Cricetulus griseus: one gene and its partner. The protein of the gene in region 2 purifies or fractionates together with the protein of the main gene of each other region. This does not show direct contact. Links are inferred from orthologs where the notes say so. Each region holds a gene or a part of one and is shown on either strand. Other genes may lie near its edges. The genes, in order: Eif2s1 and Ppp1r15a.

Region 1 (11,541 bases), on a different chromosome or scaffold from region 2:
TGATCCTTTACCATTACCACTATTTTTCATTTGCTGTGGCTATTCAGGGCAGTTAGAATGTTTGTGTTGTCCCCCACCCATAGATTCTGCAAAATCTTTCAGATAGTGCTGAATACTCATTTTCTTTTCACCCATCTTTTTCCTGGATTCCATGTAAATCATGCTATACTATTAAGTAGGTACTGGCTTTAACACTCTCACTATAATTCATTAGGTGTTAGTTTCGGGTCAGCTAATTACTGGTGAGGAGTGAACAACGGCATACCTATGATAACTAGACTCGTTTTTTTTTTTTTTTTTTTTTAATCTCTTCCACCATTGAGTTTGCTGAAACACTCTCAGCTTTAAGTCTTCACATCATTGTCCCAAAACAGTAGGACCCAAATACTGCCTTGTTTTATAATTCCTTATTACATAAAGTAACTCCAAAGGAATCAGGTATATTTTCAAATGCCATTATGGAGGATATTTCAGAAAAATACAATAGATACATGTAAGATTATTTCTATAGCAGAACCTATTTGTACTGTGTCAATTTAAAACAAGAAGCAGTTCAAATGCAGTTTGGTTAACTATGTTGGCATTTTTATATAAAATGAGATCTGACTGTTCTAATGTGGGAAGAACTCCAGGGTAAGAATAAAAGCAAGGTACAAAATCCTGTAGAGGAGTTTTGTTTTAATTTTATTTATTTATTCATCTATTCATTCATTTATTTATTTATTACATGTATGGGTCTTTTGCCTACATGTATGTCTGTGTACCACCTGCCTGCCCAGTGCCCCCAGAAACTAGAATAGGGCATCGGATACTCGGAACTGGAGTTACAGCAGTTGTAAGCAGTCATGGGTGTGTGGGGAATCAAACTCAGGTCTTCTGGAGTAGAAGCTAGTGCTCTTAACCACTAAACCATCTCTACAGCCTAGGACATCTCAGTGTTGTTTTTTTTTTTTCCCCAATACAGGGTTTCTCTGTGTAGCTCTGATTGCTCTAGAACTCACTCTGTAGAATAGGCTGACTTTAAAATCAGGGATCTGCATGCCTCTGCCTCTGGAGTATTAGAATTAAAGGTGTGTACCACCATGCCCAACATGGAGATCTGTTTTTAGTATGAGAAAGTTAGATCCTGTTGGATACCAGGAGCATAAATGCCAGGCATGCCTAAAAATTAACTGTAACACAAGGTGAAATCAAAAGCTGTCCAAAACTGAAAGTCCACATTGGAAGAAAGGAATGGTGCTAGATCACTTTTCTGTTTTTGTGTCTTTTGCCCAAGTGCATACTGAAGATGCTTCAAGTAGGGCACCTAAGATCCTTAAAAACCCACCCCTGCAGAAACACCTGTTGTCTGCCTTTGTCCTATTCAGAGGTGGCAGCCCTCTCACCCCTTAATAAACCTTTGTACTGAGAACTTGCTGTCTTCGTGTTCTGAGCTCCCTCTTCCGAGGGGACTCTCCTTACAAATACAGATAAATTAACTACTACTCTGGGTTTCTTTCCTTTTGGTTATAAGTTAATTACCAAAATCCTCATAAATACCGAAGTTTCAAGTTATTTGGCCACAAAAATAACTCTGGAATGTACTTATTAAACAACAACAACTATTACTGTAAAAGATGCTTGCTTAGCTGGCTAATTGGTAAAATTTTAGACAAATGAAATGAGGCTTGTACATATGCAGATGTGGGTATGTTTATGTGGCTACATGTGTGTAAACACATGTATGTTACATGTGAGTCAAGGCTATAGGAGACTCTCAGGAGCTCTTTAGTTTGATTTTTGGGATAGATCTCTGGATGGCCAGCAACTCACTTAGTAAGTTCAGCTGGCTGGTCTTGAATCCTCAGATTTCCCAACATTCCAGGGTTGGATTACCAGCCTGTGCCTCCAAACCTGCCTTTTTTGTTTGGGTTCTGGGATTGAATTCAGCCTCCTCCAGCTTACATATCAAGCACTTAAGTGACTGGCTATCTTCTCAGCTTCCAAAATCATCTTTAACAACTTCATGTACAAAAGAATTTTAGTAGTTTAATGACAGTGCATTTTAAAATATGTACTTTTTTCCCATTCATTTATTTAGCTCATAAATAAAGTCATGCATAATTGTAATACATAATACAGTATGTTCACAATGGCATGGCTAAATTAAACCATAAAATATATACTTTTAAGTAAATTTTTTAAACAGGAAACTTCTGTAGTTTTATAATTTATATTTCTTAGCTATATTTTTTCTCACTTACCTTTTTCTTTGTCCACTCTAATGACAACTACACATTCATTTCTGCCAATGCGGATCAGTTTGTTTATAGAACGGATACGTCTTCTGGATAATTCACTAAGAAGAATCATGCCTTCAATGTTATTGTATTCCAACAAGCTAACATAGGCTCCCATCTCAGCTATGGATCTTACATTCACCATCACTACATCTTCCACCTCAGGGAATTTGTGTTGATAAAATCTACAGCTTAGACCTGGCATTCTGCAATTTAAACAAACAAACAAACAAACAAATACATAAATAGTCAAGTTAGGGCAAAAATTATTTCAAAGACCCTGACAATCACGACAAAGGAAAGTAGACACTAGTCTCCTAATCTCTTTAAATGTCTTAAATGTCAGAAAATGGACAGATACCCAGGAACCAAGGTTTAGTTTTTATTTGCTCCATAGTTTCATAATGCTTAAGCAATCATTTTAGAGGAACAATAAAAAAATAATGACTATCTATAAAGTGATGTGAAACCTGAGGATTAAAGGAATATGTCAAGAGTAAAACACTATTTTAATATTACCACTTAAGTAGGGCATTGTGGTGCACACCTGTAATCCCGAAGTCCCGAGGTTCAGCCAAAAATGACTACAAGTTTGAAGACAGCCTGGGCTATATAGCTAGATGCTATCTCAAAATAAAAGCAAAGCAAAACCACCCCCAAAATATAATAAACCATCACCCAACATTTTAAGAAATATCATGGAATAGGAGGCATCGCTATAACACGGTTTTAACATTCTTAAGCTACTCTGTCTCCAAGTTGGCTCAAATGGCATATGCTACCACACAGCATACCAAGGGAAGACTACTCCTTAACCAATGTGGTAAATGTTATAGCCAATACTTTTTGTGATGCTGCATACTGAGCTGAGTTTCTATTTACACATGAAGCAATTCTTTGCTCTCATGAGCTGCACCTCTAGTCAATTATCACTGCAGCCAAAATTGCAGTATAACAACGGAAGGGGCTACATGGCTCAGTGGCTGAGAGCACTGGGTGCTCCTCCAGCAAATGCAGATTTGGTTTCTAGCACCCACAGGACTGCTCATAACCATCTGCAAGTACAATTTAAGGGAATCTGATGCCCTCTTCTGGCCTCTGCAAGCACATAGTGCAGATATACATACAAGCACAACACCCACAAAATAAAAATGACTTCATTTTCTTGCTTGGCATACACACAAAGAGAGTTCCAGGACAGCCAAAACTACAGAGAAATGCTGTCTCTGGGGAAGGAAAAAAAAAAAAAAAAAGACTTCATATTCATTTATTTCCTTTTAAAAAAAGCAATTTAATTCAGTCATTATAATTTCTAGCTTGTATTATTCTCCAATACTTTGAGACATTAGGGTCTTGCCCATCCTAGGAAAGTACTTCACCACCAAGCTTTACCCCAGTCCTATTTTTATTTTGTTTACAAATATGCCTAGTCTTGTGAGTTGCTTTATAAATCTCCACAGCTCAAGTGTCTTCTAATCCCCATCCTTTAAAGATACCTAAAATTATTCTCTTTGATCCACCCAGTTTCCAGCACCATCTCTTTAGTGACCTATATGCTGAAAAATCACACCACAGTTAGCACTATACTTTAAAAAGGAAGTCCTCAAACTTTAATTGTAGCTGAGGACTTTTATGTTTTCCTATTAATCATAACCTACTTACTGTGTCAGAGCCCAAAAGATAGGTAGTACATAGCACCTAAAAGCCTAAGGAAATAATTGTGAAATTTCAGTAACTTACTTTCTTGTTAACCGGTGTAGGGCCCAGCCATGACAGGGTCAATGGAGTGACTAGCCAAAGAGTAGGCCTGAGTTTCAGTTTACCCTAAAGCAATACCTGGTTCCAGGAAAGACCACAAACTGAGACCACCCAGGCAATATCCAGGAACAGATTATCCAAAAAAACACCTAACATTGGAACCATTATAGATAGGATCACCAGATGTCTTTAACACATCCCCCCTTTCACCAAGACACCATAGACAAATGTAAGCCTGAACCTTAGAAATCCCCTCACCCTCAACTTCTGCTATGATAAAAACCCCACCCCAACTGGACTCTGACCTCACCACTATGTTGGATGGACATAGGGTCCAAGTTCAAGCTTGAATAAAAAGCTCTTTGCTTATACATATGAAATTCAGTCTCCTGATGTGCAGTGAAAGTCAAGATTTGAGCCTATTAAATTTTGAGCAGGTTTATGCTCTTAAAATCTGGACACAGTATTAAGAAATAACCACGCCAGCGTCAGTGGCTCACGCCTTTAATCCCAGCACTCAGGAGGCAGAGGCAGGTGGATCTCTGTGAGTTCTAGGCCAGCCTGGTTTTCAGAGTGAGTGCCAGGATAGGCTCCAAAGCTACAAAGAGAAACCCTGTCTCAAAAAACTAATAATAACTAGAAACATCTAACTTGAACAAAAAGCAATACTGATACACATATTCAGTGTTAGAAAATACATCACAAATTAGGTCTAAGAATTAGGACAGAACCAACAGCACTGTTTAACCAAAAGCAACATGTGGCAGACTCATTTTTCAGCTCAACAAAACAGGGATTTAGTAAACAAAAGAAATTCGACACTCAACTAGATTTACCCATTTGGAAACAGTTGTTTCATTTTTAAACAGAGCTTCTCTTAAGGGTAGGGGTACAAATGTTTTCAAATACCTGTATATGGAGAACTTGACAAGCAGACTTTCAATAAACAAAAGTGGAACAATTTAAGGAGATTTAACAGCTGTTAATTCTAATTAGTCAACAAATTTTCCCAAATAGTAAAGGTGATGTTTTGGCTTAATCTGCTGGTTAAAGAACAAAAGAACAGGGTAAGAGGACACAGAAGGGAGATATAGCTACTACTTTAGCAGGCACAACCTTCGCCCAAGATAAAGAATAAACAAAGGAACACTGCGAATGGTATGTTACTTACAGTAGAAAGTAGCCTGAAACTACAAAGGAATTCTTGTCACATTGGCTGACTAAATCACTTTATGAAATGTTCGTAACTTTAAAAAACAATTTTTAAAGCCCATACTTGTTCTGTCAATGAAACAGAAATCAATAATTTATTCAGTCCTTTTCATATTTTCAAAGTATTCTGACTTTTTCATTTTGCAATTTAACCTGCTAAGACTTTTTTTAGGCAGTCACTACTAAGCACAAAACAATACTAACACAAAAATTCTTCCCTAAGGAATTAAGTACTAGTGGGACAACAAACAAAAGGTGCTATGAAAAACCAGAGAAGGAATAACAGCAAACAGAGAGCAGAAATATTAAATAACTTCAAGGATTCAAGGACAAATACATAAGCACTAAAAATACAGGAATCAAACCCAGGATTTTGTTGTTGTTGTTGTTTTTCTTTTTTTTTCTGAGACAGGGTTTCTCTGTTTAACAGCTCGGGCTGTCCTGGAACTTGATTTGTAGACCAGGCTGGCCTCGAACTCATAATGATCTACCTGCCGCTGCCTCGAGAGTGTTGGCATTAAAGGTGTGCTCCACTACGCTCGGCCAAATCCAAGTCTTTTAACACTAAATCTGACGTGTCTTTTATCCACAAAGCCTCAACATATCACAGTATGAGACTAGGTTAGGCTTTCTCCCCACCCCGTTTTTCACAGGTTTTCACTGTGTAGCTCTGGCTGGCCTCAAGCTCACACAGAGTGCTGGCCTCTGCATCCTGAGTGCTGGGATTAAAGCACATCCCTCAAACTCAAGATCCCACTTCTGCCTTTAAAGTAGTTGGGATTACAGGCACACACAGGCTGTTGTTCTGATGTAAAAAACAAACAACAAAAACACACTAGGTGGTGGTGGCGGTGCAGGCCTTTAGTGCCAGCACTAAGGAGGCAGAGACAGGCGGATCACTTTTGAGTTTGAGGCCAGCTGGTCTTGAACGAGTTCCAGGACAGGTTCCAAAACTATAGAGAAACCCGTCTCGGGGGAAGAAAAACAAAACAAAAACAAACAAAAGTCGGTCATCAGTGGCTCACGCCTTTAATCCCAGCACTCGGGAGGCAGAGGCAGGCGGATCTCTGTGAGTTCCAGATCAGCCTGGTCTCCAGAGGGAGTGCCAGGATAGGCTCCAAAGCTACACAGAGAAACCCTGTCTCGAAAAAAAGCCAAAAAAAAAAAAAAAAAAAAGCCCCTCCCCCCAAAAAGATATTACCGAAATTCGAAGTTAAATTCAAATACTTTACATTATCAGTATTTTGCCCGTTAGCAGTAGGTTTGTCTTCTAGAGCCAGTACAGTGTCAAGTCACCATAGTGGACACAGGAATGAGTACTCCAAAATAAAGTGAACTGTGTTGGGAAAGGACTTGTTCAGCTCTGAAGTTTACCAGTACAACCACACCTCCTGAGAGTCAGCGCCTGTCATCCTGCGTCATAAGCACTGAAAAAAAGGCACTACTATTTCATGTAATGCTGAGAACAGTGGAGTTCCCTGCCTCACAACAGCAACTTAATGAGGAGAAAAATCAAGACTTCGGGGATGCACCCTTTCTTCAAGAAACAATGCCTTTTCTTCCGTAATGAAAATGGAAGCATCCTAAATTTGCCTTAATACCAGGCTTATAGCTTCCATAATTAAAAAAGATGCCAGTTCTCTTCGGGCAGTAGTAAAAACAGGGCCAGTAAGCCCCGATATGGCCTGGTCTTTCAATTCCAGGGATGATTTCACGCTCCCGAAACGCATAACTAGAACGAAAACTTCACAATCTTCAACTTTAATGGTCATATTATGGACTACCTTGAACCTGCTTTAAAAAAAAAAAAACTTAAACATGGTGATCTACCTATCCTACTGGTTCTTTAGCGAAAACCTCAGTGTCCACAGAGTCAGGGGAAAGTTTTGGTGTATCCTGGGGCGGAAAAGGAGGGTGGAAAAAAGTCCAAATTCCCAGGCCCGGTAAAAGCAAAGCGCCCAATCGTCCCGAGCCAGGTAAGGCTGGGGTGTCGCGGCGTCCCCCCGAGGCCTCCCCGCCAGAAGGTCTAAGAATCTAGGGGCCACGTTTCTCCGCGGGTCCCTCCGCCCCAACAACCCACGTTTGTGGTTCGCAGCACTAGACACCCGACCGGCGAGAAGACCCAGGGAAGAACCGGCGGGCGGGGACCACGGGGTCCGGGCACTTCCCGCGCACGGACGGGGACCGGGGCTGATAGCCTGGGGCCTAGCCTCGCTCGACCACTCCTGTCACGGAACACAACGAAAGTGAATTCCCGGGGAGAGCGAGGCGCGGGGCCAGTCACCTGCGGTGTAGGTGTGAATCCCGAACTAGGGTCCCACGCCGCGCTCCTTAATGGCAACGAAGAGACTCGGCACAGCAGCCCCGGACGCCGAACCTCCTCAGCGTGCGCTTCGCTCAGCCCAGCGCGCATGCGGCCCCGCCTCTCACTGCGCAAGCGCCGACAGAAAAGGCCCTTCGTCACCACGACCATAGAGTCGTGGTCCTCCAAATGCGAGCGGTGTGAACCGCAGGGCGGCCTGAAAAATCCGCGTCCTCGGCGCTCGGTAGATTTTGCGGAGAGAACTTGCAGGGCTTAAAGAAGAGGACAGAGCCGGCTTCTTGCTCCAGAATGGTTACGTTTAAATTTTAGTCCACCGACAGACGGCGCTGTAACGAAAGACGGGAAGCCGAGGAAGGGGAGGGGCGTGATCTTCTGATTCGTCACTCGGAGCATGCTGCAACCTGCACCGGCGAGCCGCCGGCGGGAGGGGCTGTGGAGGGACCCGGAATTCCGGGCTGTGCGCGCCTCCACATCCGGGCGTCCCTCGCGTCCAGCCCTCTCCTCCCTCTCAGTCCTCTCGCAGTAGGAACCGGAAGTAGGGACCGGTATTCCGTAGCCTCTTAGCAACGCGAGAGGGTCAAGTGACACCGTCAGCTGACTCCCGTGGTGGAGGACGCTGTGGTAGCCAGTTCTGGCGGTGTTGCAGTCACGATTGCTCGGCTGGGGGCCCGAGCCGAACAGTCACCGTTAGGATGTCGGGCAAAGACCGGATTGAAATCTTCCCGTCGCGAATGTAAGTGAAAGAATAGGACAAGTGGCTCCAGGGTCAGGAACACCTTCCCGGAGCGCATCCCTGCGAGCCCTCGGCCGCCAGCGAGCTTCCCTGCTTTCTGGGCCGCTCAAGAGCTTCCCCCAGGGTCCTTCTGCCCCCTCGTCTGCTCCTCCTGAGGGAACAGACTGGGGAAAGTGTGGTTCCAGTCCAAACGAAAGAGGGTCCGCCTGCTGGGCTTTCCTCATTTTCCCCACACACAGTTTACATAACTGAGTCATCACCATCTTTGCCTCACAGTGCTGAGGGGAGACGGAGAAGCAAAGGTGGTTTTGACCAAAGCTGTCAGACGGAATGGAAGCGTATAGACAGCCCCTAAGCCGAAGTGGCATTGTATGAGTCGACCTAGCACAGCTGTCGGTTTTAATCTTGGATCCCGTCCAATGTCACCTGCCGTGGGAACAGACAGACCCGCGCTCCCGAAGCACCCCTTCAACCTCGTGATAACTGTATTCTTTTCTACCTCTAGCAGTGTCACTCAAGACGTTGTCAATCGGATATTTGTGTGGTGGGATCTTCTCTCCCACCAATCTATGAGCTATCTCCTGGATGAGGGAGGCATCTTTAAATGCATAGGAGGTCCACAGAAATGTTCCTTGAATCCCCGCCTTGGGATCAGCTCAGTTGCAGGCTGCCTTTCTGTTTTGGTCTGACAGCTTTGTCAGGGGAAAATGGCGTTTGTAAAGGAAATTTTGAAGTTTTCCTCAAATATGCATAATAACTTACAGATTGTTCTTATTTGTGTTCTCTTGTTTCTGAAAAAGGAAGTCAGTTTTTACTCTGATCTATAGGTCTTTTCATTGAGCTTCTGTATTGGGGTGGGTGGGGTATGTGTGTGACACTGTAATGTTTTCCTCATCCTTTTTCTTTCCTCCTCACAGACTCCGAAGACTCTTTAGTTATATTTAAACCTTAGACTGAATTTCTGTCTCTGCCAGGGCATGTGTAGTTCTGAATGAGTGAAAGACTTTTAATTATTATTATTATTTTGGTTTTTTTTTTTTTTGAGACAGGGTTTCTCTGTATTGCTTTGCAGGTTATCCTGGAACTCGCTCTGTAGACAAGGCTTTCCTCAAACTCACAGAGATCTGCTTGCCTCTGCCTCCCAAGTGCTGTGATTAAAGGCATGCACCACTAACGCCTGGCTTTAATAATTTTTTTAAAAACCCTTTTAGCCTTCACCTCACTGACTTTGAAATGGCAGATTGTACTAACTGTACAAATGGGCTAGTTGTGGAGAAATGCAAGGCCTGTGAAACAGATAAAGATCCAGACTTCCCTAGGGGGTGATTTCCAAACTCAACATGTAATGTAAGCTTTACTGAGACACCAACATGGCTTCTAGAAACCAGTGGCAGAGTTCTTGCCTAGCACACACAAGGCCCTGGGTTGAATCCTCCAACTCCTCAAAAGTAAAATTAACCATTGCTGCCTGAGGCAAACAAAACTCAAAGCTGACACAAGTAAATACTTGTGTCAGCTAACACCTGATCCTAGACCTCTCTTCCACAGAACATATATTAATGGGTATATCCAATTGGATATATATTTTGTATAAATCATGTGTCAGGGACCTAAGAGAACCCTTCTTTGAAAGGCAATGGACCAGAAGGATGATGTCTCTGTGTCTCTGTGGGAGACTAGAATCCTAATTTGTCTGTCATCAAGCAGATGCAGCTGACCCAGTCAGGGGTAGACTCACCAATCTTAGTGATTTTCATTTTTCATCTTCTTTAAAACACCCAGGCATATCTTCATGTACCAGAATGGAGCTCACTTTTTTTTGTTTTTTTGTTTTTTTTGCCTTGCTGTCAGTGGTCTCACTCTTTCAAATAATGTCTGGCCATATTTAATCACTATTCATAATGCTGATGCGTTTTTATTATCACTTTGGAACTTTTAATTTAGGACTAGGAGCTTCTTTGGGCTTAGGCAAGAAAAAGGATAGTTGTGTGAGGGTGAAAACTGTTATTTGAGAACATTCAGCTGGTCTAGAGGAAGTCGGGTGTAGGAAGTAAATATTTTTTCCACAGCTTGACAGCAGGTTATTTGTCATACAGTGAGATGTGTTTGATTCAGCAGGAGACAAAGTCACTATTTTAGCTGAAGGTCATACTTCTTGTTTCTTTGTTCTTTTCTTCTAAGGCTGAGCAGCTCTGTAACAGAAAGGAACAGGCTTAACAGCTCTAGGCTAGATCACACAGTACTGATTGTGACTCTATTTGCATACATTTGGTGCTGTTGTCTGTGGAATGTTGCTTTCATTCAGGTATCACTAGAGAAAATGAAACAAATTTAGGTGGAAACAAAGGAGGCCCAAAAGGCCTAGGGATGTGGCTCAGATGGTAGAGCACTTGGCCAAAATGCACAATGTCCTGGCTTTCAGCCACTAGTACCACATAAAACTGGGCATGGTGGCTTATGCTTTAAGGCCAACATTCAAGAAGCAGAGTCACGGTCATGAATTCAAAACCAGCCTGGGATAAATGAGACCCTGTCTCAAGCTGGGGGAAAAAAAAAGGCACAAAAACTTAGAGTTAATAAAAGTCAGGTAAAGTCTAGGTTCTTGTAAATGTTCGGACAAGTCACCCTTTTTTCCCTCTTCTTCCCTTTCTTTTTCTTTTTCTTTTTCTTTATTTTTTTTGTGGGATAGCCTTATGTATCCTAGGCTGGCCTCTAACTCACTATGTATATATCCCAGGCTGACCTTCAACTTCTAGTCTTCTTGCCTCTACCCCTCAAGTGCTGGGATTACAGGCATTCACTACTTCATATTCAGCTCATTTGCTCTTGAAGCTCAGTAACTGAAAACTTCCTATTCACAGAAGTACAGACATCTAGAGTGAACTCAAGTTTTAGTTTATTAGTCAGTTCATCTATGAGCTCCAAATTTGTAGGTATCTGTAGTGCTACAATCAACCTAAATCGTGTCCAACTTTCTCTCCCCCCTCCGTGTGTGTGTGTGTGTGTGTGGGGGGGGGTGGGGGGTGTGGGTGTGGGGGTTTGGGTGTGGGTGTGTGGAGGTCAGAACAGGATGTCTTATGTCTTCTATTGCTTTCCCCACTTTGTGTTGAGACAGTCTCCCTGGAAAGCTTGTGGTTTGGACTAGACTGGCTAATCAGGGAGCTCTTCGGATCTGTCTGTCTCTGCTGGGGTTACAGGCACATGCAGACTTGCCCGGCTGTCTACCTGGGCACTGG
Region 2 (11,398 bases):
CTCCCTGGACCCCAAAGACATGTCTCGAAATGGGAACAACTTTGTAGGCAAAGTTAGGTAGGCTAAGCCTTCTTGTTATGTGGTGCTCCTCGGAAGCCCGGAGAAAGATAGGCACATGAACTACATTTCCCAATATGCTGCCATGCACAGCACAAGACCTGCACTAAAGCCTGATGGCTTTTGTAGTTCTGCAGGTTGTACTTCCCAGCCGTGGAAGTACAAAACAAAACATCCAAAACAACGAAAGCTTTGGATGCCATGAACACAGGCTGGCATTTAGGATGCTTAGCTTTTTGCTAGGCAGAGGGCTGGGAACCCTCAGTGCCTGTGGGGAAAGAGGTCTAGAGTGTGGGAGTTCTTACTTGCTAGAGGGAAGAGGATTCCCAAAGAGTCAATGTAGGATGCTAGAATGATACCAAAGAAACAGAGGGCTGGGACTGTGATTTTTTTTCCTTAGAGGATGGGTTTGAGAAAGCACTTAACAGAGTAAAAATCACCATTATGGCCATTTTACCTTGTTCACTGCCCTCCTGGGGCAGATCTAACGTCTTGGGCACGAAATTCACCATCTTTGATAATGGGGTGAACCCTGAGCGGAACTACTGGATCCCAGACAGTGCCCGGATCAGAGAGGAGCTGGGAGTTGTATGTTATGTAAGTATCCTGGCAGGGGCAGAAATGAATGGGGGTGCCAATAGGTAAGAAAGCATAAGGAGCCAGGCCAGCTGGAATATAATCTAATTAATTTTCCCAGGAAACCAATGTCTTGGGGTTCCGGGGACCTCGGAAAATGACTGTGATCCTTCCAGGAATGGACAGCCGGAAGCAGAGGATGAGGGTGCAGCCACAAAATGTGAGTCTTTAAGGTTGGGAGTCACAGTGCAGAGAGCAGAATGGTCAGGGTGAGCCATCACAGATCCTGAGGTGGGGCAATGGTTTGCAGGTCACATGTGAAACTTGAATAACTTTGCCAGAGTCTTGTCTTAAAAAGTAAAACCAGAGACTCAAAACTTCAGGGCCTAAGGCTGAAGAGATGGCTCAGTGATTACCAGAGCATGCATTGCTCACCTAGAGGGACAGGAAAAGCAGACCTTGTGAGTTGGAGGCAGCCTCATCTCAAGTTCCAGGACAGCCAGGGCTACATGGTGAGACCATGTATTTTAAAAAAAAAAAAAAGTTTTTGGCTTGGCATTGGTGGCTCATGCCTTAATCCCAACAGGAGGGAGGTAGAGGCAGGCACATCTCTGAGTTTGAAGCCAGCCTGGTCTACAGAGACAGTTCCAAGACAGCTGGGTCTACACAGAGAAACCCTGTCTCAAAAGAAAAAACAATTTCTGGAGTTGGTTCCCAGTACCCTTGTGGCTTACAGGGGACCTGATGTCCTCTTCTGGACTGTGAAGACACCTGCACTCACATGCACACAGTACACATATGCAGACACACATATATTTAACCGAAGTTAATTTGTTAATTTTCCTTTTTTGAGACTTTCCTAGCTATCCTGCAACTGGCTCTGGAGACCAGGTTGGCCTGGAACTCATAGAGATCCGCCTGCCTCTGCCTCCCGAGTGCTGGGATTAAAGGCGTGCGCCACCACCACCCAGTTTAAGCTTGGGTACTTTAAACCGTGACTAACAACAAATGTACAATAGATTATACATAATGACTTGTGTGTGGTTATAAATCTGCACATTATAAATAATTTTTGCATAAATGCATATTTAAAATTTACCTCTGGAAATATGGAATTCATCACAGGAAGGGAGATAAGAAATTCCAAAACTCTCCTGGCATTGGTGGCGCATGCCTTTAATCCCAACACTCGGGAGGCAGAGGCAGGAGGATCTCTGTGAGTTCGAGGCCAGCCTGGTCAAAAAAGTGAGTTCCAGGATAGCCAGACTGTTACAAAGAGAAACCCTGTCTCAAAAATAAAAAAGAAAAAGAAAAAAAAAAAATTACAGTCCCAGTCTGCTCTACAGAGCTAGTTGCAGTACAGCCAGGGCTACAGAGAAACCCTGTCTCTAAAAATACACACACAAAAAGAAACATGGGGCTCTAGAGACACTCTCTCAAATAAACAAATACATAAATAATAAATAAAACCTGTGCATCTGAACTAAAAAGCAGGTTGCGGGTGGGCTAACAAACGATGCCCCTATTGTATCTTCAAGGATCAGGATTCGATATTGAGTCGCCTACAAAAGGGTGCTAGACACGGGCTGCTCTTACTGCAGAACAAGGCCCCATCTTGGAGCGACGAGAGTGGCGCCTACGTGCTCAATTTTCACGGTCGCGTCACTCGGGCTTCGGTCAAGAACTTCCAGATTGTTCACCCGGATGAACGTGAGCTCCTAGCAACCGGAAGACCTGGGCTTGCGGGAAGAAAGCGGCCACTCAAGAACCACCCCTTGGGCGGTTTCCTAAGCGGGGCGAGAGCCTCGCTGTCGCAAGGCCTATTGGGAGATGTAGTCCATAAGGCTCCTAGCATTTCCCAGCTTGGTAAAGGTGGCGCGGGTGGGAGGCAGGAGTTTAAGTCCTATTTCCTGTTTTGCTCATCAGCGGACCACCTGGTTCTCCAGTTCGGCCGCGTGGCCCCAAACATATTCACTATGGATTTCCGATATCCTCTTTGCCCGCTCCAAGCCTTCGCCATCTGCTTATCCAGTTTCGATGGGAAACTGGCGTGTGAGTAACTGAATAAAATACCATCCCTCACCAGCTCTGTCCTGTGCATTTGGAGAAAGCTTCACACTATGCCCCCCCCCTTTTTTTTTTTAGTTTTTTGATACTCAGTCTGGCCTCCAACAAGGTAGCTGAGGCTGGCCTTGAACACCCCATCCTCCTGCTTCCGCCTCCGGAGTACTGGGATGACAAGCATGCACCTCTGTGCCTGGCCTGTCTTTTAATAAACCTTGAAATTTTTTTAGTTAGTGTACAAAATAATGGGCTTCATTACATTTTCATACACGTCGTTATACCTTGCTTGTATCTACCACTCTCCATAGGTTATGTCTGCCTTAGCTCAAGCCAATCCTGCCTCAGCTTCAAAGTGCTGGGATTAGTTGTCACTTTACACCTGTCTGAGATAGTCACTATGTAGATCAGGCTGGTCTCAGAACTCATTTCTAGCCTCCCTTGAAGATACACCAGCAGGATACTATGAGTACACACATAAGAATTGTATAAATCAAAAGGCTTTATTTCTTATTAAAATAAATAACAGGAAACGTCTTGGGTTTAGCCACGCCTCCCACCGCAGTCCAGGCTGGAAGGAGGGGCTTCACTGGGAAGGGAAGAAGGTGTGGTCACAGATGGGCTCAAGAGCTAGAGGAAGCGATGGGTTTCCAAGGCGTGCCCATGCTCTGGCTCGGAAGGCAGGGGTGAGGTAAGGACCCAGCTTCTCCTCCGCCTGGGCAATTCTTCGAGCAAAACGGCTCCTATCTCGTGCAAGCTGCTCCCAGGGACCACGTCGGGCAGCCTGGGCTGGTCCTGCCCAGACAGCAAGGAAATGGACTGTGACATTCTCAGAGAAATGCACCTGGACAGATGGGCAGAGGCAAGAAGTAAAAATTAGTCACAAGAAAACACTTGTTATTTGGAATAGTCACCTGCCTGCCATCCTGACTGTCCCTCTGACTCACTGACATGTCTGTGCTGCCATGAGCCACAATTATCACTCTTCCTGCCTCTTACAGGCGATTGCAACAGGGTGAACACAGCCTTCCCATGTAAGAAGTTGCAACACATGGGTCCCTGAGGTCTCCACCATAAGGGATTTTCAGGTCCCAGGCCCTGCCTCCTGACTCAGAATCTGGACCTTTTGTACAAATTATATATTAAAAAAAAAAAAAAGAAAGAAAAAAGCAGTGTGAAATCCAATTGCAAATCCAGTACTAGGACTGTACATCCCTAAGCTACCACAGGAAAGACTCCATTAGGCTCCTAGCACCCACTCACCTTTCTGGCCCGTAAAGGAGTCTCAGGGTCCTGATCCTGGGTGGGGGTTCTCAACAACGTAAGCCTCCTTTGCAGCCGAAGGGGCAGTTTAGGGGCAGTCCAAGGTGGTGCTGGCTTCTCTCCAGGTAAATAGAAGGCCACCTGGAAGAGAGAGTGCTCTGCTTCCACAAGTCCCTCTGTCTGCTCTCCAGGCAGACAACCCTGAGCCTCATGGCTGGGACTCTTGTCTGGGTCAGCTGCTTCTGAATCTTCTGGGACCACAACCTCACAGTCGTCATCTTCTGTGTCCTCTCCAGGGCAACAGACCCAGGTCTTGAGAAAGGCACTTGTATGGGGGGTGGCAAAGGTCTGAGCTAGACCGTCTTTCTCAGCTGATCCCCAGTCACTGTCTTGGTCATCCTCTGTGTCCTCTCCAGGTCGATATACCCAGGCCTTCAGGAAGTCATGTTCAGGAGAGGTAGGGGAAGACAAGGCCTTACCCTCTTCCTCAGCTGATCCCCAGTCACTATCATCGTCATCCTCGGTGTCCTCTCCAGGTCGATATACCCAGGCCTTCAGGAAGTCATGTTCAGGAGAGGTAGGGGAAGACAAGGCCTTACCCTCTTCCTCAGCTGATCCCCAGTCACTATCATCGTCGTCCTCGGTGTCCTCTCCAGGTCGATACACCCAGGCCTTCAGGAAGGCATTCCCACTAGACACAGACAAAGATGAAACCTTGGCTTCTTCCTCCTCTTCAGCTTCTGCATTCTGACACAGTTGATACTTCCCTGCCCTGTGTGGCTCTGGGTCGGCTTCTCCCTCCTGCTTAGAGCAGTACTCCCAGGCTCTGGAGTGGGAGCCTGAAGGAGAGCTGGGGGGGTCAGCTTTATTTTCTGTTTGTTTTTCCTCCGTGGCTTGATGTTCTGCCTCCCCTGGGCAATACACAGAAGTGCTGGACTTGTGCCCTGGAGAGTCAGCAGAGGCTCGGAAAGCCTTTTTCACAGTTTCTCCATCCTCTTCCTCCTCAGATGGACAACCCTCCCAGTGTGATGTGGGGTAAGCCAGCTCAGTCACTCCCTCTTCTCCAGCCACCACCTCTCCAAGGCTCTTATCAGCACTTTGCAGACCAGGAGACAGCAGTATAGGCAGGCCAGCTGTGTGTGCCCTTCCCTGCTCTCTGGGGCCATCCTGTCCTTGCTTATCATCATCTGAAAGTCCCAAAGTTTCAGGAGGGGAACTGTTGGCTTGCACATCCAGGCAGGGTCCCTGGGCTGCTTTACCCTCTTCAGGAGTTCCACTTTCTTCAGCCTCCCCCTGAGGGGGGTGGTTCTCAGGAACAAGGGGAGGTGCCGGATGAGCATCAGCTTCTATCTGATCTGCTCCAGTTACTGTTTCTGCCGGCCAGGGCTCTGGGGCTTCCGGGACCCTCAGGCGGCTCCAAGCCCGACTGAGGAAGCCCATCAGTGGAGACAGGAGGTGGAAGGAGTGGGCATCCCTCCAGAGCAGGATATGCTGGGGTCTTGGGCTTGGGGCCATGTGTCTGGGCTATAAAAGGGGGAATTGTTTAGAAGCCATTCTGGAAATATCATACCACAGCTCTGAGTCACGGAAATATAAATAGTCACAGTACTAACATGCCTCAAATTCCTAATAGCCCTGCTCACACCACCTCCACCACCTGCTGCTGCTCTCTTACACCCTACAGTTTGGGGCCTCGTTCCTACAAGCCCCTTTCTTCAGCCCTGTCAAAGACTCCTGCCTAGCCCTCTTCAGACTTGTGATCCGGCTTCTAAGGACCCTTCTCCCCTCAGGCATATATGTTCACGCCCTTAAAACCTCCTCTGCCCACCTCTTGGCCCCAGGCCACTCCTCCGGGAGTCCTTCCCTTTACCCAGCTCTATACAGGTCCTGCGGTTCTAGCATCCAGGCCCCCTTCCCTTTACGTGGACAGTCTAAATTCTGCCTTCCTTAGACCCAAGGGCCCATCTAGGCCTGGGTTGCCTTCTCTCAGATCAAAGGAAGCATCTTTCTCCGACCCGGGGACTTTCCGCAGCCTCCCCCATTCCCCACGCACCGGCGGGCTGCGCTTCACCCCGGGGGCAGGAGCGCCGGTTCGTGTGGCCAGAAGCGGTCTCGGGTCCGGAGGTCTCGCAAGGCCAGAGCGTTCATGTCGCCCTCAGGCGTGGGGCTCGGGGACGTGAGGTCTCACAGACGGCCGCAGGGAGCGTCCCGACGAAGGGATGCGGGGGGCGCGCGGGGTGTCGCATGCAATCTTCCACAGCTTGAGGACTGGCTCAATCTGCGCCGGAAGCCGCAACACTGCTTTTATAGCCTGGCGAGACCTGCTGACGTCACCGGAGAGGCGGGGCTTCGGAAGCTCCGGGAAAGGTGGGACAGGGAAACAACACCGAACTTCTCGCGGAAATTCCGGGCTTTGTGACGTCATTGCGACTTTTCCAGGCGTGTCCTCGGCCCAAACCTTGCGAGCTGTCAATCTCGAATCACTTCTGAGCAAGCGTCTGCACTTCCTCAGCCAGGCACACATCTTTTTTTTTTTTTTTTCTTGTTTTTTGTTTTTCGAGACAGGGTTTCTCTGTGTAGCTTTGGAGCCTGTCCTGGAGACCAGGCTGGCCTCGAACTCACAGAGATCCGCCTGCCTCTGCCTCCTGAGTGCTGGCACACATCTTACCAGCCCAATTAATTTCTGTTTCTATTTCTTTTATTTGTTTTTTGAAAGACAAGGACTGACCTCGAAATCAGTGATCCTCCAGTTGCTGTCTCCAGAGTGCCGGGATTAAGGGCGTGCACCACCACCCAGCTTTATTTATTATTAAAAAACTTTAAAATGCCAGCAGCGGAGGTGCGCGCCTTTAATCCCAGAACTAAAGAGGCAGAGAAAGGATTACTGTGGGTTCGAGGCCAGCCTGGACTACATAGCTAGCTCCAGACTGTCCAAGTCTACATGAGAAAAAAAATTTTTATCTTTCTTTTTGCTTTTGTTTTTTTGAGACAGGGTTTCCCTGTGGCTTTGGAGGCTGTCCTGGAACTAGCTCTTGTAGACCAGGCTGGTCTCGAACTGACAGAGATCTGCCTGCCTCTGCCTCCCGAGTGCTGGCATCAAAAGCGTGCACCACTACCGCCAGGCAAAATTTTTTTGTCTCGTGAGCCATGATGGCATATGCCTTTAATCTCTGCACTCAGAGGGAGAAGCAGGCAGATCTGATTTGGAGCCTCTCCTGATCTACATAGTGAGTTCTGGGACAACCAGAGCTACATAGTGAGACATAGTCTCAAAAAAAATATTTTCCCTTATTTTGTGTATGAGTGTTTTCCCTTCATAAAAAATATATGCATGTATATGTGTGTGTGTATATGTGGACCTCCGAATGTGATGCACGAGCAGGCCAGAAGATAGCTTCTGATCTTGTAGAGCTGCAGTTAGAGATGATTGTGAACTTCCTTGTGGGTTCTGGAAACTGAATTCCGGTCCTCTGCAAGAGCAGCAAGTGCTCTCAAGCCCTGAGCCATCTTTCTAGTCCTTTGGTTGTTTTGTGTGTGTGGGTCTGTCTGTCTCTGTCTGTCTAAGACAGGGTTTCACAGTTTAGTCTACACTGTCCTGGAACTTACTCGGGCCAACCTTGATTTTTGGGCAATCTTCCTACTGTGTATAGAGAAGCAGTGACCCCAGCCCAATGCCTGTCTTCAGTGGAGACTTCTTTTTAAAAAAGATTTATTTCTATTTCCTTTGTTTTATTTGTCTTTTGACAGGGACCCATTTTGTATTCCAGGGTTGCCTGGAACTGACTATGCAACCCAGGCTATCCTGGAACTCTCAGTAGGTCTACCTCAGCTTCCCCGGTAGAGAGGTTACAAGTGTGACCTCAATAAATACTGTATGAAGAACGCTGCTAAACAGACTTGTTACTTTCATAGGCAGGCATCTGCCTTCTTCACTGCTTCAAAATTATATAAAAGTTGTTTGTGCAATTTGAAATTTTGATTGGACTGTACTCTGGTAGGGGTGGGGCTCTGCTTAAATCACAGATGTAGATGTAAAAATCCAGAGACCCAGTTCCAATCTCCACTGCTCTCCCTGCCTGGTGTGGTGTATGCGATGTGTGTGTGGTATACGTGTGTGTGTGGGGGTGTGTGTGTGTGGTGTTTCTGGGGGTGGATCCCAGGGCCTCCCACATACTGGACAGTGCTCCCTTGGAGCTACACTTCAAGCTCTGATCTACAGCCCAGCCATATTCCTCAGAATGTATGAAGTCACCACACCTCCCTTTTAATGGGTTATCAGTCTGATCTGAGGGAGAAATTTCCAACTGGCCACTTAACCCTGTCCTTGCCAGAGGCCAGTACTCTGGGACTATGGTCCCCTCCTTCCAGTATAGGAGCTAACGATCACTGCCTCATTTAGTCAAGGCCTTCTGGACATGGGTGTACAGTCCTTGAGGTCGGACTTATAGCTCATACCTTCACAGGCACCCACCAGCCAGGCTGTATCCCAGTTTTCCAAGGTTTCAGGAATAGGAGACTCCATTCTTCAAATGACCCAGGACACCTCTCTTGAAGGAACCATAGCTCAGCACCCCAAGTAACAACAAACCCATGGTGTCCTGGGGTTCAAGTCTCTGCTCCAAATGTTGAGGAGTCCCAGACACAGCTTAGGATAGCCAAGAGTTGAAGAATCCCAATCCCTCTCCTTAGCTGTGGGGGCAGCTGAGCCAGGGGTCAGGCTGTATAGTGGGGAGGCCAGAAGAGGCGGGGATAGCCATGATTGGGAGGGGAGGCAGCAGCGTGGGCGGCTGCCAGAGAGAGGGAAAGCCCAGCAGAGAGGAAAGAGAAACCAGGAGAGGAAGAGAGAAAGTGAGGAAGAGAAGTTGAAAGAGAAGAAAGGAAACAGATGTGTTTGGTGGGGGCGAAAGAGACTGAGTGTGGAGAGAGGGACTGAGGGGGTGATAGAGACGGGAGGGAGGGGAGAGTTAGACAGGAGCAGTAAGGTAAGAGGAGGGACTGGAAACGGTTGATATAGGCAGACAAGGAGAGAGACACAGAGAGAGAGACAGAGACAGAGACAGAGACAGAGAGGAGCGTGAGTGAGCAAGAACTCATAAACAAGACAGAGCTGAAGCAGTCATACATCAGGTGAGAAGAGGCAGCCCTGAGAGGCAGTATCTGAGACGTAAAAAGGTGGCAGACCTGTCACTGGGACACCAGAGCTGGGTAAGTCCCTGGCTGGGCTGGGAGGGACTTGCCTGGATGCTCATTCCTGGTGTCTTAGGAATTGTCTTGGGGAGCTGACAAAGATGGTTTGGGGGTTCATGAGAGAAGAAAGGAACAGGTAGCCCAGGGCACCCTGAAGGAGGCAAGGAGTAAAATCCCTGTGCACACAGGGGGTCACATTCCTAGCCAGAGTTCAGCAGGCTGGAATAAAGGAGCCCCTATTCTTATGGCCTTGCTGCAAACAGCTGCCCCCTCCCCACAGCTGCCAGAGCCACCCACCTCTCTTGGCACTACTATTGGTATGCGATCCCTGACCATGGCCTCCCCCAGTCCCTCAGTTCCCAAACAACAGTTTCTTTCTCCTCAGCATTCTCCGACCTGAGCCCTGACCCCAGATCTGTCCTCAGCCCCCATCAGCGGAGAGACACAGCCCCTTTCTCTTTCTCCCAAAGTTCTCCATGGAGCAGGGCCGCCCCCGGAGCAGCCTGAGCCTGGCCAGCAGCGCTTCTACCACATCTTCTGTGAGCAGCCGGAGCACCAAGGTCCTTCCACACTTCCCAGTGGGATAGGGAGGAAGGGGGCGAAGGGCAGTTCAGTCCCATTTCCTAGCTGTTCCATCACACGGACCCTTAGTGATTGGGTCTGCCAGACTGGTTCCAGCTGCAGCTGGGAATTTTGGAGACATCCCCAGCTCTGTCCCCACCCCTCTCAGTCTTCCTAACTTTAAGCCAGAAGAACAAACAAACCTAGACTGAGAGGAGGTGTCTACCCTTGACTGGACTAGGGAACTCACTCTGCAGTCTATAAACCTCGACCCACCCACTAACAACAGGGTGGGGTGGTTCACAACTGTAATCCAGTATTGGGGAGGTGGAGGCAGGAACATAGATTAGGCAAAACAACATGCAAGGAAATAAAATCCCAAACCAGAGCCAGGTGTGGCAGCACATACCTCAAATTCCAACATTCAAGAAGTAGAGGCAGGAGGATCAGAAATTCAAGGTCAACCTTGGTTACATAGTGATTTAAGGATAGCCTGGGCTGCATCAACATCACTAGGACAAAATTCACCTTACTCCCTTAAACTCAGAGACCCAGAGATTTGGTTCCAGCCTTGGTCAGCCTACTTCCAAAAAGGTGATCCAAGGCAGCTTGGGCTTGGGGGTCTGCAGTCTGTGTGTGGGCAGATACCCTCTCAGGGAAGTGAAGGACCAGAAGCCACATCTCCACCCTGAACTTTCTTGCTGAGGGTACCCTTCTGTCCTTTCATTCCCAGGGCATCTATTTGGAAGCTGCCTCTGCGGGGGACTCCCGGCATGGCACATGCTCCTGGTGTGGATTGCAGAGGTTCTTTGGCATCCCCGGCTGTGGCAGACAAGAGTGTTCTTGCCAGGGCGCCTGTACAAGGCCTCATAAATCTCAACCTGAACTTGACCTCCCTATGTAGCCAAAAAATGACCTAAAACTTGTTGCCATCAAGACAGGATCTCACTACCTAGCCCTAGCTGTCCTGGAGCTTGCTCCATAGACCAGGCTGACCTCAAACTCAGAAATGTGCCTGAGTTTAAAGATGTATGCCATTACCCCACAACCTTGAATTTTTTTGTTTTGTCTTGTTTTTCGAGACAGGATTTCTCTGTGTAGCTTCGGAGCCTATCCTGACACTTGCTCTGTAGACCAGGCTGGCCTCGAACTCACAGAGATCCTCCTGCCACAACCTTGAATTTCTAACTCTGCCTCTACCTCTAGAATGATGGGATTACAAGGAACAACCTCCCTTGGTTTATGCCATGCTGGGACTTAAATTCATGTTTCATGTATGACGAGGAAACACTGTGTGAACAGAGATAACTAAATCTCTTGTCACTTTTTGTTTGTTTGTTTGTTTGTTTGTTTTGAGACTTGGTCTCAAACAGCACAGACTGGCCACACTCAACTATGTTAAGTCCTGATCCTCCTGCATCTACATCCTGAATGCTGGTTTCACAGGCTTGTGCTGCCATGCTCAGCCTCCTTGCCTGGTTGCAAAGAAAAGGCCCCTTGGGAGACAGTCCCAGGAGAAGCCCTCATTCACTTCTGTTCCTAATGCACCCCAGAAGCCTGCTCGTGCAGTGCACAAGGTCCATGCCTTTGGGAAAAGGAACAATGCATTTCGACGAGACCCCAACCTGCCTGTGCACATCCGTGGCTGGCTGCATAAACAGGTAAGGTTAGAGACCAGCTGTGGTACCTGGAT

The links.
Region 1: the proteins of Ppp1r15a (region 2) and Eif2s1 purify together in Homo sapiens (affinity purification with western blotting; 4 studies listed by BioGRID and IntAct, with this or other methods). This does not show direct contact. The link is inferred for Cricetulus griseus from reciprocal best matches to the Homo sapiens genes PPP1R15A and EIF2S1.

The regions. Positions count from the first base shown.
Region 1 is NC_048598.1:124,774,640-124,786,180, forward strand, and holds the start of Eif2s1 (eukaryotic translation initiation factor 2 subunit 1), read right to left. Parts: upstream 7,693-11,541; 5' UTR 7,534-7,692; intron 5,078-7,533; exon of another isoform or gene 4,947-5,077; intron 2,486-4,946; 5' UTR 2,485-2,485; coding exon 2,244-2,484; intron 1-2,243. Other genes in the region: Atp6v1d (V-type proton ATPase subunit D), read left to right, coding at 8,265-8,305. UniProt on the Homo sapiens protein: Member of the eIF2 complex that functions in the early steps of protein synthesis by forming a ternary complex with GTP and initiator tRNA. This complex binds to a 40S ribosomal subunit, followed by mRNA binding to form a 43S pre-initiation complex (43S PIC).
Region 2 is NC_048599.1:154,422,275-154,433,672, forward strand, and holds Ppp1r15a (protein phosphatase 1 regulatory subunit 15A), read right to left. Parts: upstream 6,232-11,398; 5' UTR 6,011-6,231; intron 5,482-6,010; 5' UTR 5,473-5,481; coding exon 3,958-5,472; intron 3,539-3,957; coding exon 3,281-3,538; 3' UTR 3,177-3,280; downstream 1-3,176. Other genes in the region: Tulp2 (tubby-related protein 2), read left to right, coding at 1-57, 540-654, 755-853, 2,172-2,343, 2,560-2,693; Plekha4 (pleckstrin homology domain-containing family A member 4), read left to right, coding at 9,621-9,704, 11,259-11,366. UniProt on the Homo sapiens protein: Recruits the serine/threonine-protein phosphatase PPP1CA to prevents excessive phosphorylation of the translation initiation factor eIF-2A/EIF2S1, thereby reversing the shut-off of protein synthesis initiated by stress-inducible kinases and facilitating recovery of cells from stress.